Linked DNA regions of Neodiprion lecontei. The protein of the gene in region 1 binds, or shares a complex with, the protein of each later gene. Links are inferred from orthologs where the notes say so. Each region holds a gene or a part of one and is shown in the gene's direction. Other genes may lie near its edges.

What was found.
Region 2: the proteins of UDP-N-acetylglucosamine--peptide N-acetylglucosaminyltransferase 110 kDa subunit (region 1) and TGF-beta-activated kinase 1 and MAP3K7-binding protein 1 are in contact, whole or in part, in a crystal structure (PDB 4AY6), measured with the Homo sapiens proteins. The link is inferred for Neodiprion lecontei from reciprocal best matches to the Homo sapiens genes OGT and TAB1. Residues at the interface, in NP_858058.1 of Homo sapiens: Asp441, His506, His508, His509, Asn567, His568, Pro569, Gly641, Tyr642, Thr643, Lys644, Ala646, Gln849, Phe878, Pro904, Val905, Ala906, Pro907; in NP_006107.1 of Homo sapiens: Pro389, Val390, Val392, Pro393, Tyr394, Ser396, Ala397, Gln398, Ser399.
Region 3: UDP-N-acetylglucosamine--peptide N-acetylglucosaminyltransferase 110 kDa subunit (region 1) and KAT8 regulatory NSL complex subunit 2 share a complex: the UniProt entries of both Homo sapiens proteins name them as parts of the NSL complex. The link is inferred for Neodiprion lecontei from reciprocal best matches to the Homo sapiens genes OGT and KANSL2.

The regions. Positions count from the first base shown.
Region 1 is NC_060261.1:5,988,773-5,993,315, reverse strand, and holds the start of UDP-N-acetylglucosamine--peptide N-acetylglucosaminyltransferase 110 kDa subunit, read left to right. Parts: upstream 1-1,525; 5' UTR 1,526-1,754; coding exon 1,755-1,980; intron 1,981-2,631; coding exon 2,632-2,782; intron 2,783-2,942; coding exon 2,943-3,186; intron 3,187-3,415; coding exon 3,416-3,484; intron 3,485-4,543. UniProt on the Homo sapiens protein: Catalyzes the transfer of a single N-acetylglucosamine from UDP-GlcNAc to a serine or threonine residue in cytoplasmic and nuclear proteins resulting in their modification with a beta-linked N-acetylglucosamine (O-GlcNAc).
Region 2 is NC_060262.1:385,857-390,423, reverse strand, and holds TGF-beta-activated kinase 1 and MAP3K7-binding protein 1, read left to right. Parts: upstream 1-1,661; 5' UTR 1,662-1,774; coding exon 1,775-1,865; intron 1,866-2,015; coding exon 2,016-2,253; intron 2,254-2,326; coding exon 2,327-2,459; intron 2,460-2,553; coding exon 2,554-2,794; intron 2,795-2,926; coding exon 2,927-3,183; intron 3,184-3,262; coding exon 3,263-3,724; 3' UTR 3,725-4,027; downstream 4,028-4,567. UniProt on the Homo sapiens protein: Key adapter protein that plays an essential role in JNK and NF-kappa-B activation and proinflammatory cytokines production in response to stimulation with TLRs and cytokines.
Region 3 is NC_060264.1:32,075,404-32,081,811, reverse strand, and holds KAT8 regulatory NSL complex subunit 2, read left to right. Parts: upstream 1-1,741; 5' UTR 1,742-2,040; coding exon 2,041-2,050; intron 2,051-2,205; coding exon 2,206-2,452; intron 2,453-2,573; coding exon 2,574-2,755; intron 2,756-2,861; coding exon 2,862-3,030; exon of another isoform or gene 3,031-3,106; intron 3,107-3,664; exon of another isoform or gene 3,665-3,772; intron 3,773-3,867; exon of another isoform or gene 3,868-4,061; intron 4,062-4,277; coding exon 4,278-4,456; intron 4,457-4,537; coding exon 4,538-4,674; intron 4,675-4,833; coding exon 4,834-4,959; intron 4,960-5,018; coding exon 5,019-5,159; intron 5,160-5,290; coding exon 5,291-5,539; 3' UTR 5,540-5,868; downstream 5,869-6,408. Other genes in the region: cyclin-T, read right to left, coding at 201-346. UniProt on the Homo sapiens protein: Non-catalytic component of the NSL histone acetyltransferase complex, a multiprotein complex that mediates histone H4 acetylation at 'Lys-5'- and 'Lys-8' (H4K5ac and H4K8ac) at transcription start sites and promotes transcription initiation.

The DNA.
Region 1 (4,543 bases):
GACCCGCAATATGGTCATTGATACGTATGGTTATCTGTCACCTGCTGCTCACGATATTGACATAGAGTAACGTCATTGCGGCTTATCGGCATGATGCTCGTACGAGAAATGGTATAAATTCAGCACGAGGTTTGTTGACCCGTCGCTATCCGTCGTTAGTTAAAATCTCGCTAATAATCGGAGGGACAAATATGTAAAAAAAACCACAACGTGTGGTCAGTCGAAAATCTATAGATAGGTACACGAGTCTTCGCACGAGGAGAAACTTAATTCTCGTTCAAAATGAACAATATCAATAAAAATGATACTATTATTTGAATTTCACGAATAAAAATAGTACCTAATCGTAGATATTTACAATCAACGCAATTCCAAGTTTTGTATTTCTTCGCTGTAAGAACATCCCAAATGTAAATCCTTCCGAAATACCTAACATTCATTTGTTAATTCTTATCGTTAGCAGTTTCCTTGATCGGAAATCTCTTTGTTCCTTGTCGCAAGTTGATGTTTTCTTTTTTCGTCTTTTTATTTTAGTTTCTTGGTTTTTTTCCGCTATTCCCCTCGCCAGTGAAACTTCTCCCTCCCTTCCTAGCCGTGCGACCGAGCGAAACGGTTGGCTGCTCGCAACCCGTCGCCACTGTCAAAACCGATGGAATATTCCACTGCGTACTCCACCGACTATGCCATCTGCTCACCGGCCCCGGCAGCGCGGCGAAAGGGGGGCAGGGTCCCCTCGTCCTTTCGTCGGGTTAACCCCTCTTCCCCTCACCGCCAGCAAAGTATCATGATTTCGAGCACCATAGGTCGGAACACTTTTTGTTGGAAATTTATATTACGTACTTGCAACGCGTCTTACACGAAATTGCATAATCGTTGTTTGCCCGAAGTCTGTATACGTTACGTAGGAACAGCAATTGAACAGTAATTTTAACGAGGTTGAAGTTAGTAAAGTCATCGTAACGAAACGTTGAGAAAAAAATCACTATTTTCTTATTTTTACAATGATTTTTAAGGAACCAGGATTGAAAAATATGAGTTCATTTCATTTTATAGCGGTTTACTGATTTTCAAAGAGTTCCAAAATTTCGAAATAACGGTTTTTCCTCGTCACAAATCGCGTTTCGATAACGTTACTAACTTCAATACGATGAATTTTACGGGTGAACGACGAGACAAATGACGTACTATCAATTGCCGAAATGCAGGGGGATTTCGGTAAGAGATATAGGTACATCCTACTTGTTTTTTTTCTTTTCATGCTTTGCTAACAAGATCTTATCAAGTTTGTACGAATGTACGTACCTCTAACGTCTCTTTGTAAGAGAAAATAAAATTCGTCTTCGGATCATCATTACGAGTACTCGTTATCGGCAAGGAGATTTAATTTTCATTTGCTTTCTGCGTTTGCCGGCGAACACCAACCGCCTCGACGTGTAGGTTCGGCCCTGTTTCCTCCGTCCTCCCCTCCTTCCAATCCCATCACCTTGCTCACCCCTACTTTGGGCTTTGGCCCCCATCGCACAGAGGCCAGCTAGCATCAAGCGGCTTACAGACGGAGAACGTCGAGTCCGGAATTAAATACGCGGTGTGAAGTTATCCCGAGATTGACGTCGAACTTGTTTCACGGTGTGTTTCACGTCGCGCGTCTTCGTTGTTTCTCGCTCGTTTTTCTCGCGTGCCGGATTTTTGATAAAAAGATAATTAATAAAACTGATTAAGTAGATAAAGAGAATCATCCTCGAGCGCGGTTAAATATGATGAGCAGCCAGGTGCAAAATCGCGGCAACGTAAACAACGATCCGAAGGGTGTTACGGCCGTTAACAGCCTTGTGATTAACCCCGATAGCGGTACTCTACAAAGTATTCACACTCTTCAAAACGGCCAGAACATGTTGGTCGTTACGCAGGACGCACAAGGCAAGGAGGTTCTTGCCGTCGCTGACGAACAAACGATTGTTAACCTCACCCTAGATTCGTATTGTTCGTATTCCATTTCCTCGTTTTTTTTTTTTCTCATCCTTATATCCGTCGCTTTCAAACTGCCTCTTTTTTTTGTAGTCGCTATAGATTCGACATCACCTTTCAGTGTCCGATAATATTTACAGTACTGGTTATAGAAATTCTTACTTTTCATCAATTTTATCGATGGAGATTTATTCCACAAATTTTATCCTGTACCCTCTTTTCTTTCACTTTTCCGGTCACCTCACAGTTGATTAAAATTTTGAATAAAAAAATGTGTAGATGCGATTAAATGAACTCAGATTTCAAGTAACAGTTTGTCTCGGTGGAAATTATTCACGCTCCGATTCCTTGTAGCAGAGAAAAAAAAAAAATAAGAAATTGTAACCTCTCTCCAAGTGAACCTAACGAATCGTTTCTGTCCAGATATTTCCGTTCTAAGATTATCCTGCTCAGGGGTTTAAGAATAATTTTTAAATTACTCGAAAATATTTTCTCTGCCAAGAAATACAGTGGAACTTTTTCTTCCTACGTTTGATGAAAGATTTGCAAAAGTTTTTAGATAACTTACTAAAAAGTTAGCGACTATAGTATTCCGAACTACAATGAAATTTCGTCGACTTTTATTCTGGTCAATTCATATTCATGCTTTCTCTTTTCTCATTACAGGGTTGTTGGAATTGGCGCATAGAGAGTACCAGGCAGGAGATTACGAAAATGCGGAAAGACATTGCATGCAGTTATGGAGGCAAGAGACCAACAACACTGGCGTTCTTCTTCTCCTGTCTTCTATTCACTTCCAATGTCGAAGGCTCGATAAGTATGTTTTATGCAAATAAATATTTTGGAAAATATTATACTACTCGGTGTAGTTGAAGGAAATTAGAATTCATATCCAAAGAGAATTGTATATTCATTGTTGACGGCCGACTTGTAAATGCGTTTTTTTTTTTTATTAACCTGAGACCTTTTCTTTTAAGGTCTGCACACTTCAGCTCACTGGCTATAAAGCAAAATCCGTTACTCGCGGAGGCGTACAGCAACTTGGGTAACGTTTTCAAAGAGCGTGGCCAGCTACAAGAGGCTTTGGAAAATTATCGTCATGCTGTCAGGCTCAAGCCCGACTTCATCGATGGGTACATCAATCTCGCAGCTGCATTGGTCGCTGCCGGTGATATGGAACAAGCGGTCCAGGCCTACGTTACCGCTCTGCAATACAATCCCGTAAGTGGATTATCGTTGATTAATTTGAATGGTTTTTCTGTGATTTGTTGTGCTCGAATTAACTGAAAGTTTCTTACGACTCAATAAGTCATTCTTGTATGATTGAAGAAAGAGAACTTGAATACCTGCTGCTGTGTTCGAATACATTGAAAAGAAATTTGTTAATAATATAAATCTTACGGTATTCGAGGCCAGTTTTGTCTAACACATGGTATGCAATTTGTTACAGGATCTCTACTGTGTGCGCAGCGATCTTGGTAATCTTTTGAAAGCATTAGCAAGGCTTGATGAGGCCAAGGTAAGTTGACGTTCAAACCCTGTGTAAGTTTAGACACTAATCCTACACGCTACATCCTATATGTTTTTGTACCACTGTTGAATAGTGCGTAAAACTACACTTGAAGTCGTTTTACGATGATCAAAGTATCGCTACGAATAATTAATTCTCGTGAGTTTAAAATGCGTTGTTGAAACCGTTTTCCGACTAGCAGAAGCAGGCATTTTCTATTTGTTACTTCGGAGTAAGATTCCTATAAACTTAGAAGCTGTTAAATATAGAAATTAACGCGTGTTTTTTTTTTCAATTTTCGGAACTTCAAACTCGTACAAAGGCATATAGGTGTCTCGTGTCTCCTGGTTAGTGTAGTTCTGAGGAATGTGTAGAGCGAATGTTTGTGTATATTTAGCTCATGCAGAAAGCTGTCTTTCTTTGCCACAATAACGATATTATAAAGAAAAGCTGCTGCGCGGCGCGCGATCTGCCATCAAAATAAAAACATGTTTACATTTTCCATTCTCTTGTTTCAGCATTTAACGTTTTGATTGCAGACGAAATATTGTTGTGTACTCTTGCTTTTGGGAATTTTGGGTTTACCATGTTTGACGCCTGTTCGTTGGCAAAAACTTTTTTTCAATTTTTCATTATATTCAACAAATGTTTCAAACTTGCAAGTCCCGAAAAAAGCGGTGGTAAAATTTGTGTCAGACATGGTTAATGGGTTTAGGTTTGTGAAGTTGTTGGAGGAGGCGCGGAAACAACGTCAACAATGCGCGAATTGATGCAACGCCATTAATTACGATCACTCTAAATGGTGCTACAACAATTGATTTCAAATACCTCTTTGTTGATCCTGACAATATTCATCATGCCACTAAAAGATTTTTTTTTTTTCCTAAACACTTGCTACATGCAAGTTGTCACAATGTGTAAAGTAATTTCCTATCTGAAAATAGTCAAATCGATGTGTAGCATGAAACAGGATCAGCAGCGCGCGTGTAGTATGTAAGTTTTTCCTGAATGTTTGTTCCTACAATTTCTGTTTTTTTCTTTTTTTTTTTTGTACAGCGCTTTCTTACA
Region 2 (4,567 bases), on another chromosome or scaffold:
CATCGCCCTCCGTTCGACCGCGAGAAGATAATAATAGGAACGTCGAGTCCGGCGGTAGTTCTCCATCGGTCGAGAAGGGCGGTAATGTCAGTCTGACCTACAACGAGATGATGTCCCGAGGGCCGACTCCGTACACGGAGCAAACCCCGTTAGAGCAGATATACAGAGCCGGAGTGCCGGTGACGATCCCCGACGACGCGGTCGCCTCGACGCCCGATATCACGACACTCCTGACCCCGGACAACTCACCACCGGGTATTGTTTCAAGGGAATGAACCAGGCGTGTGTTCTAGCATGGATATACTTATATCCTGGTGAAAATAATTCTATTAATTTCCGTGAAAATATCTACGAAGTTTTACGCAAATTTCTATGCAAAAGTACAGGATTTGGGTCGATCCATAGTTTTTGAACTCGAGATATCGTAACGATTCGTACAGTTTTTCGTAGATTATTATTATTAAGAAAAACTACGAATTCACCCAAATCCTGTACCTTTGCATAGAAATTGCCGTAAAACTTCGTAGATATTTCCATAGAAATTCGTAGAATTATTTGTACCAGGGGTTTTTTCACCAGGGTTCCTGGTTTAACAGAATAACAAATTAGCTAGTTTTTCCGTAAGACTCACCTATTGAGATAAGGTGAGTTGAAAAATATACGGCAGATGCTCTAAATCCGTCTAGATCATACTCACGATAAGAGAATGAGAAGATCGGTCTTCGGAGGTAGACCCGAATTTATCTTTATTTTCAAAAAGATGATAAACTCAGCTGCCTCCTTATCGAACATTTTCAGACGTACCTTTAACCGACATGGGTACCGAGGAATTGGTCAATTTTTTGAACGTCTCTCGCATGGAGCAGGTCCAGAGGATCAAGAAAGATATAGAACGGTTACACGATTTGGAAAAGTGAGAAATTTTGATTACACGGTGGTAAATGTGGATGAATCGGATACACCGGATGCAGCATCGGAATACAAGAGTAATGATACCGACGTCGGGTTCCAGGTTCCTGGAAGGGGTTGACAAACAGGGGTTCAAAGGATTGATCAAAGGCGACCTCGCGCGTCGCCTGGACAAGTTGGACGGCGTTGACGTCATCGGGGAAGTTGAAACCATGCTCAAATGACTAAAATCGAATTACCCGTAGCGTGACAGTTACAACTGGCTTCGATGAAACTGTCAGTAAATGTCTAGTCAACGCGCATGCAGTCCGTGGAAAATTTCTGATCAATGTATTTCGTTCGAATTGTAAGCGAAACTTCAGAATCGTTGAGATGGAAATAACTACGTACCGCGGGCTTCGACATAAAAAGTCATCTCTGCACCTACAGATAGACAACCGGAGTTGCAATTTGCCATCTCACCGAGCTGATTTTTCCAGGTTTAGGTCCGGTATCACAGATATGCCGTTTTAGCTGCGAGTTGCGAAGTAAAAGACAGAATTATCGTACATTCAATACTACTGATAAATTGTAACGTATAAAACAATATAGCTGCACATCATTTGAAACGTACCGATTCTCTCGACCCACGATCACGTTCATTATCGTTACTTTTTTCTTTCATTTGATCCGATCGCTCGATAAGCTGCGTGCGCAATCTGTGTTTGATCGAGTGATTTTCATTCGCTGGCAGAATTCGCCCACCTGACTCATCTCGAAAGGCATGCAATGCATAGTTCATAATGCTATCGTAATGGGAAATGGAGGTACGCGTCAATCTCCGTGGGTAGGAAACGCGTAGTGATTGTAGAATAAAATTGTCGAGATGCCGACCAGAGCAGAGAGGCCTAATTTGCTAACGTATCAAGACGCCCAGCATAGTTGGACCGACGACTTGCCCGTTTGCAAACAGTCAGGTAGACGATTGACAATTCCAACAAGTCCTAACCTAGTCTAGCCTAACTGAAGACTACTCAAAAATAACAGAAGTCCAAAATGTTTGATGAAAAACGCTCGAATCAATTTCTAATTGAAAATGGGTGAAAATTTTGATGGCGATTCCATAGGTGTGGGGTTTTCAACGAATCAAATATATAGGGAGGATGGTGGCCGGCAGGAGGATCATCCGTTCGAAGACCGTAGTTTTCACTGTCGGTACGACGACTCGACTTTTTTATACGGAGTTTTCGATGGACACGAGGGAACGAAGGCGGCTACTTTCGCGCTTCAGCGTATGGCAGCTGAAATTCTCTTAGGACAGCTCAGTGGCAAATCGACCGACGAGGAAGTTAAAGAAGTATTAAGGTAAGTAATTTCCTATATTCTTGGAAAGGTAAATCAAACCTAGGACTAATATTGTCGTCGCTTCTTTTCTCAGGCAAGCTTTCATTACCGTGGAACGTGGATATCTAGACTCTATTGGAGATATTCTGGCAGAACGGGCTAGTCTGCAATTCGACATACCGGATGGGCTGAATTCGTATGAAACTTACCAAAAATTTCCATACTTGGTACTTGTTTTTTTGTTTTACGACATATGAAACAAACGTTGTAATAAATCTACTGTGATCGTGTGTAACAATTGTTATTTTTCTTTCTTTTTAGGTGGACAAGTTGAGTTCTTTGAACAGCGAATTGTCGGCTGGAACAAGCGCGGTGGTAGCCTTAGTTTACGGCGGACGCTTATACGTAGCAAACGTCGGAGACAGTAGAGCATTACTCTGCAGAACTGACAGCAATCAGGTCTTGAGAGTCGTGCAATTAAGTGTAGATCACGATCTGAGGAACGAGGATGAGCTGTTGAGGCTGTCTCAGCTTGGATTGGACATTGACTCTGTTAAACAAGGTCTCTATAACAATAAGTTACCGTAATAGGGCGAAATGAGTACAAAACAAGACAATTTAGAGAATCCCCACCCCCCAAATATTTTTCTTTGACACATCAGCTTGCGCTGTAACCGTAACTGTGCTTCTCTAGGTTCACACCTTGGAAACCAGGAAAACACGAGATGCCTTGGCAATTACCTAGTCAAAGGGGGATACAGGGAATTTGAGGAATTGGCATCGGCGAGCACAGAGCCAATAATAGCAGAGCCGGAGATACACGGTGGTATAGAACTCGACGATTCGTGTAGATTTTTGCTACTCATGTCGAGAGGTCTCTACAAATCGCTGGAGGAAGCGACCGGAACTGATCAGGTCAACAAAGAGTTGGCCCAAATGGCCGTCGAACAGGTACGTTTATGAACAACGGGAAGATGTTTGTTCGAGTCTGGTCAAGCGAAAGTGATTCACGAGTACTTTTTGTCTCCAGTTTAGGGTACAGTCGACATTGACGGGAGTGGCGCAGGCAGTAGTGGATAAAATAGTGAGGATACATCATGACGTCAACATGAGCAATTCCCAGAATACATTGACTACTGGAAAAAGAGACGACATAACATTGTTAGTGAGAAACTTTAACTTTCCTTTGCCCAACGTCCTAAAAAGCCCTACTATTCAGTCGGTGAGGTTTAATCCCGACGTGCAAACTGTGCCCGTACCATCGCGAATGGACAATGACTACTATTCGAGCAGCGGAACAAATACGTCCGATCAACAAAACTGTGATACATCAACGACTGAAACTTCGACCACTTCAGACATGTACCCACCGGGTGGAAAGCCTGTGAACAGAGATACTAAAATCAAACCGTACGTCGACTTTTCAGAGTATTTCAAAACTGTTGAGAAGAGACGCGAGGAGGGAACCTTGCCAGAGGGTATCAATTTTTAAGCACGACTACGAGTGTGTCGTTGTCTATTTGATTTTTTTTTCATTAGTCATTACCTAGATCTCAACTCGCCTATTGTTACGATTATTATTATTGATTCTTTGTAGGGATGCACTGTAAGATATTTGTAATATTATGACTTTGTGTTAGTAAATTAAGTTTTTCGTGATAACTGGGCCATTACTATCCCTTAATATCGTTGATCAATTTGCTGCAACAAACGGACAATGCAGTCTTGATCACATAGCATTCATTAATCACATATCGGTAAAATGTCATCTCGTTATTAAAAATGATGGAAACGATATGATAAAAAAAAATATATATATATATATTTCTTTATAAATTATTTATAAACGATTGCTATACTATTCGGAAAATTTAGATTTGAACAGTTATTTTCCCATCCCAATCATTCGTCACAATTTTCGAAATCGCTTTATTAATGTTCTAATTGAGCTGAACTGTTTGTCGCAAGGCAAAATTTTATTTTATTATGTACATTTTTTTAATACAACCATCGCCCAATCGGACAGTTAAAGAGTAGTTTGCTGGTTTGTTTTCTCCCTCACTGTAGGATCAAGATGATTTCAGGATCGAGTTTGCGACAACCGTGAGACTAAAAGGCTAAGTTCCTGTTGGTATTAGTTTATTACCCGTGTATACGATTACTATACACAGTGACATTTAAATAGTTTTTTTTCTTCTATCGTCATTATCAATCCATAGATAACTGCACCCACGTACGGCGTTAAAAGTAAAATGGTAAACGAGGTCTAGAATCTCATCGCGACTGACACGCAGTACGTTTCTGGTTTAGTCGACGATCCAATATCTCCAAGTTT
Region 3 (6,408 bases), on another chromosome or scaffold:
CACACTAGTTTGGGACGCCAAACGCGCGGAGGGTCCAGGAAACGGGAAGACGATGACAAGGAAAATAGGAGAAATGAAGAAGGTTTTTGAATAACTAGGAAGCGACTCAATAGACGATGATATAAGGCGGCACGCTGGATTCGCGGAAATGTCGCGTGCGTCGTTTTAGATAGGTAAATGCGAAGGTTAAAAAAGGATACACAGAAAGCCGTTGTCCCATATCTTGTATAAAATTTGCTGCCTGCTGACGATAACTTAGCTCTTTATCTGCGTCGAAACCGCATCTTCTGCTCGGGGTTGTTGCTAATTGTTCCTTCGTAAAGTACCATTTTTCGTCAGCCGCCATTTATATGTACACTTCTGGCGTATACGCAGAAACCCAGGCTCGGCTTCGCACTTCACGTTGTTCAAGGTTCCCGAGGTTGCGATCACGGCCGCCACCCGCCAGGAGATAGCTTCACGTCACGGAAACCGGAAGTAAGCGAACCACAAGGATGGAGTTTCAAAACCGCGATTCCAAGATCGTCTCAGAGCACCATCGAAGAGCAATTCACACCTTCAAATTTAATCCCACATGTACATACTTCGTATATTCACCGAGGTGATGATCAATTTTCGACAAATTTTTCACAGCGCAATAATAAATGTGATTTTTGCCACTTACTCGCGCGTCATAGGATGCGTCTCGAAATTAACTGGCGGCGCTAAAAACTCTCTAGAACGGAGAGAGCTACTTACAAACTCTGCAGCGCAAAAGAGATAAAATATGGTTGACAGCGCCAGGAGCAAAATCGGAACGCAACCATGGTCATGTTTTCCCCGTTACTAGCGCCACGCGACTGTGGATTTTAGTGCCAAGTGACGCGGCAGCACACAATGAGTCAATTTTGCCGACGAGAGGCGTCGGTCTATGGCCGTTCGAATACTTTATGGACGAAGCTTCGGAGACGTAATTTGCTCCTGTATCGTATCGGAAGCACTTAACCTAACCTTGTTGTATTGGTCCTTTCCAACTCCTTAGAGATTGTTTATCTCCCGATCGAGGTCCTCGCAGTCTTCTTGGCCTGTTGTTAAACATCAACGATCGATCCCGTTATGTAACGGACCCTTAGTCGGCTGCGTGCTTTCGCGATTTGACGAGGGCGGAGGATTGTTGGTTAGGATGTCGTCTCCGGTGTGTCTGGCATGTTATTATTGTCGCATCGTTATCATCCGTGTGTATAAACTGTAGCAAGACTGTTCGACGGGCCGTTGCTGACCTTCGAGGAAAAGTTTTTCTTTCGCTGTAACTCCGTCAACAGTGTCGCAGCGGTGGGACCGTTCGTTGTGAGTATTTCAGCTTCACGCCGAGCCTTGCTCCTCGTAAAATCGAGTACCAACCGAGCCGAGTCCGTTCAATCGTCTCCGAATAACGATATCATTGTTTTAATGCTTTTTTCGGAAATTACATACTACATTCGACACGTTGTATGTACCGTACATACGTACGCAGCGAACCTTCTGCGCAGTGATCTCGACAGTAACAAAATGGCGACGGCAAAACCCGTTAATCGGATCCGTTGTCGACGCCTCTCGACCGCGTTACTTGACCCGAAAATTCCATCCGAAGTCGTCGAATTGACTTATACCATTTTATAAATCTGTTCATCACCTTAAAATTCTCCCCGCATTCTCAAATTCATCAATAACGTAAAATTATTTTAATACAGTATACATGCACATGCATTTAGTGTCATAATATCGATACATCGCCGCCATTATTATGCGATCGATATTAATGGCGGCAAGTTTGAATACGGATGAATAGCGCCTTGCGTCATTTGGTTTTTGGTAATCTTCAAGTAAAAATCAAACGCGCAATTCATTGTAAAAAATATCAAAACGAACGAATTGTGAAAAACGGGTGGCAATAGAGTTGAATATTGGTCAAAGGAATGCTTCCTCAAATGTAGAGAAACGTCAAAAATCGGAGAATTCATACTGATGGAGCTCGATTATTAGCAAGTTTAGCGCAATTGCACTCTTTCACCACTTCTCACAATGCCAAAAAGTATGTGTTTTGCCTAATTCCACCGAATCACAACATGGAACAAAAATTTCTCTGATCCAATTCAATTGAATTGAACTTAGTACTGAAGCCTCAATATTTTTTTTGTAGTCACCTGGTTTTTAAGGTTAATTTTTTATATTCACCGTTATTTCCAGAAGCAATGTTTCGTGTGCCAAACGCAACTGCAACCCGAATTGGACCTGGAAAGAGTTCATCTGAAAGTCAAAGTTGTTCTTACGGATCATACGAATGCAAACAACAGAGCCTTGCGGGCTACGCCTATTGCTCCAGACATATTTTAGAGGATAGTTCTGCACCTTACAAGCAATGCAGTTTTGTCTACAACAGTAATGGCCGTAAGTGCCAGAACCCGGCATTGAAAGGTGATCGAAGAGATCTTGCGTAAGTGGAGCAATGAATGTTTATTCAGTTTGAATTTATTTAAATTGAAATCAACTTCATACCTTGAAACGACGATGAATGGCTTCACAAGAGAAGTTCTGTACGGTCCTTCGCTTTTCAGGTACTGTTCAGATCATGCGAGAAGGGCACAGTTAGCTCGCATCAAGTCCACATCGCGGCATTCGCCACCGCAGACCCCGGAAACTCTGCTTCTTAATCTAAGCCACTATGTTAAGCCAACAGATTCTAGTGCGGAGGATACGGAGGAAGAAGAAGGAAAGGTGAAGGTTCTGGATCCTTTTGGTGAGGGCCCATCTTTTCTAGAGATATAACACCTTTAATTTTTTTTTAACATTATCGCTGCTTCAGCTTTTTCGTGGTTGTTCATTAGGTGTGTTCTATTTTTCAGCTGAAATTGATGCCTATAGAATAAATGCCAGTGGTTGTGATGTCCTTGACTACGCAAGCTCTTCGGATAGCGATGTCGAACCTGTAGTTGTCAGCGAAACTTTACGTGGTGCATTCCTCGACGATAGCGAAGACGAAAGCCTCCAAAGTTCGCAGGAGGACCCACTTAAGTATGTCGGATCTTTGACACTCTGCACAAGAACTCGGCTTGGATAATTCATTGTTTACACGTATACTGTCCTGCAACTCAAATATCGCAGCAATTGAAATTGGAATTATTGGCTCTGATGCAAGTATCTCACATGCAAATTATAAATTTGAGCTTCTCATTTCTATTCAAATTATTTGCAGGGATACGAAGTTTTCAATCTACTTTAAAGTTATGGATTCATGAAATGATCACAGAATTTTTTAGAATCATTTTTGAGAGCCTTAAACTATTCGGAAAATATTAGACATTCCGCGAATATAAAGGGTTCAAATTTCAGGTGCTTACGGCATTAAAGGGGAATGAATGTTCAAAATTCTATATTTTTATCTAAAAATGATGATTCGTCTGATCGTAAAATTTTGCATTTGACTATTGAGGGAACTTTCCAACAAATTGCCTGTAATCTATGTGAAATACCGTCATACGCTTTGAGAGTTGTTTAAAAATATGTACCTATTAAATAATGTGACCACATATTTTTAGAAGATTAATTATAAGTAAGGTTTGAATTTTATATTACGTATTGTAACGCTAGCTTGCTTTTGCTTGTGCATTACTAAATAAGGGGACTAAATACCAAAATAGTTACTTACCTTCATTTTTATTGTTCTAACTGGATGTTGATTTAACCCTGAGAGACAATCATAAGCTTAACATTTACCCAATGGTGGATTGCTCGTGATATCACAGAGCTGGGAAAACTGAAAGTCAAGAAAATACTCTGCATCTACAAATCTTTGCTGGGAAGAGAATTTTAGCATTTTTTTTATTTTCAATTATCCTCTTGCAGAGTTCTCTCATTGTTTTTAAGAAAACACCTACTTTTAGAAATTCCAGCATGAATTTGTTGCATGCTTCACTTACCGTGTATAGTAACTTTGACCTGCCAGACCAACAGGCTGAACCTTTGACATCATGGTCGTTGGCGGAAAATTATTTTTTCTTTCAGACTTCTTTCAGGTGACAGTGTGAGATGGAAACGCTTCAACTCTGGAATAGGAGGAAAAAGAATTTAATGATTTGTAGCGATATCTAGTCCCCTTTAGATATTTTTACAAACTCCACAAACGAACAGTGATCAACTTTTCTTCCACGATAATTTTATTTCCATTTCGAGTATTTGCCCAATGAGGTACCCTAAATCTTCTTTTCTGTAGTAGCTGCTTCCAGCGTGACAGAGACACTTTTTATCTATTGAATCATTAGTATTAATTTTTTAAGGCACGCCGGAATCTTCACCGCCGAAGAGGTGATATACATAGCAAGGGAAAAGCTCATCAGGCTCCAATCGCTCTACATTGACCAATTCAGAAGGCTGCATCATATATTCAAAGAAAAACGTCGAAAGTACCTGCACACAGTGAAAAAGGAAAAAGAAACAACCTGTAAGTCTGGCGAGCTTAGATCGACCAGCAGCAATGTAATTTTTAACTAATATTTATTGTTCGATTAATTTTAAAACACAGGTAGCATTCACGATCAGCCGAAAGAAACCGCTAAGGAAAAAAAGATTTATGATAAATTAAAAGCCCTGAACTCTTACCACAGGCGGAGTGGCGTCGAAGCTATCCTTTACAAAAAATCATTGGAGAGGCGAGCTCAGGTATAAAAAACAATTCATATATTAAAATTTCGTCATCATCATTGATTGAAAGGAAATATATTTTTCAACATTTACTCACAACTCAAAGTGAAAAAATTGAAACTTTTACAACATAAAGTTTAGCATATAGCAAATGTATTTAACATAATTTTCATCTAGCAGGCAACCGAGGGTCCAGCGCAGAAGCCTCCCAACGTTACGAAATGCATTTTCACCGAAGGCGGAGTGAAGTGTGGGGAAAGAACGCTACCGGCAGCAAGACATTGCCGTAAACATATACTAAAGGTGAATTAATGTTAATTCGACAATTGATCGTTAATTTAGTAATTCTTCTTAACATGCAGGATCAGCATCAAGTATTGTTCAAAGCCTGTGGAGCTGTTAGAGCTGATATAGAATGCCACGAGCCTGTCCCAGTCGTTTTCGATTCGTCGTGCGTCTTTCACATGAATTTACCGCCGCCTTTAAAACTTGAATCTATGGTGGTAAGATGTGTGATCTTTTCATCGCATGAATCAAAAATAATTAATGCACACATTTGTATAATCGATAACAAAACAATGATGTAATAATATGTACAGTTGTAATTAAAAACACGTTTTCTATTTCCACTCAGTTCGAAGAAGCGAAACCCGTTATAAAGGAAGCTTCAGTATTGGATAACCAGTCGATGGAGATAGACGTAGTTGGAGAAACTCAAGAAATAGACCCAGATGACGATATGGCAGGATTAATGAGAGAGATGAACGATGCGGCGGGTAAAAAAGTAGCGTTCAACGATAGCTTAAACAGTGAGGCCAGCACAGATACCGCATTCAGTTTAACCGCACAGCTAAGCGACAAAGACGAGCTTATTCTAATTTGATGACTATTGATATTGAAAAGAACAAAAAAAAACTTTTACTTATTTACTGTACAAAAGTTCAAACGGACTAATTTGTTTTATAAAATACCATTAAAAATCTGCCGAGCACTGTTTCCAGATAATCTATAATTAATTACTTTCTTGTTTTCGATCTGCAACAGTTAGTTGCTGGTTTTTAAAGTCTATAGGAAATCCCAGGAATCTAGAAACATTAGTCTTTATAGTTAAGTGATAAGGCAAAAACTTCTAAAATATAGCAACTTCATTTTAAGCATGACCAATCGATTGTTTGTTCAACTTGTAAATAAATAATTATTAATACAATCATTGCATACCTGAGTTACTTCATTTACCTGTTTATTTACTCGAACGGATAAAGAGAATTATTCGATCTGTTCATCGATTCGTACGGGATATCAGGTAAAATTCCAAGTTGGAATGAATTTGAATGAAAAATAGTGTAGCCCGAAAAGAAGAGTAAAGTTTATGGCAGTTTCTTTTTTCTATTTTCATTGTTACATTATAAACTAAAATATAAATCGATCGAAAACACAATTGGTTTATACTGAATTCCTGATGTGAAATTTTAATCAAATCAGAGTCAAGATCATCAGCGCAAAACTACTGCAAAGGTTTTAGAAAGGTATGTATGTACAGATACAATTATGTCCAAGTTGTTATTTCAAAATGATATTTATAAGTACTTAGACGCTTACACCGTTTTCGATCACGATCAAAGAATTTATAATTAAAGAAGTTGAGATAACGTACTTCGAAGATATTATAAATAAAAGGAGGACTTGATAAAATAAATTGCAAATAGCTTATAATAAGTTTTACAAAATTCATGTTTTTCATTTCTAGATATT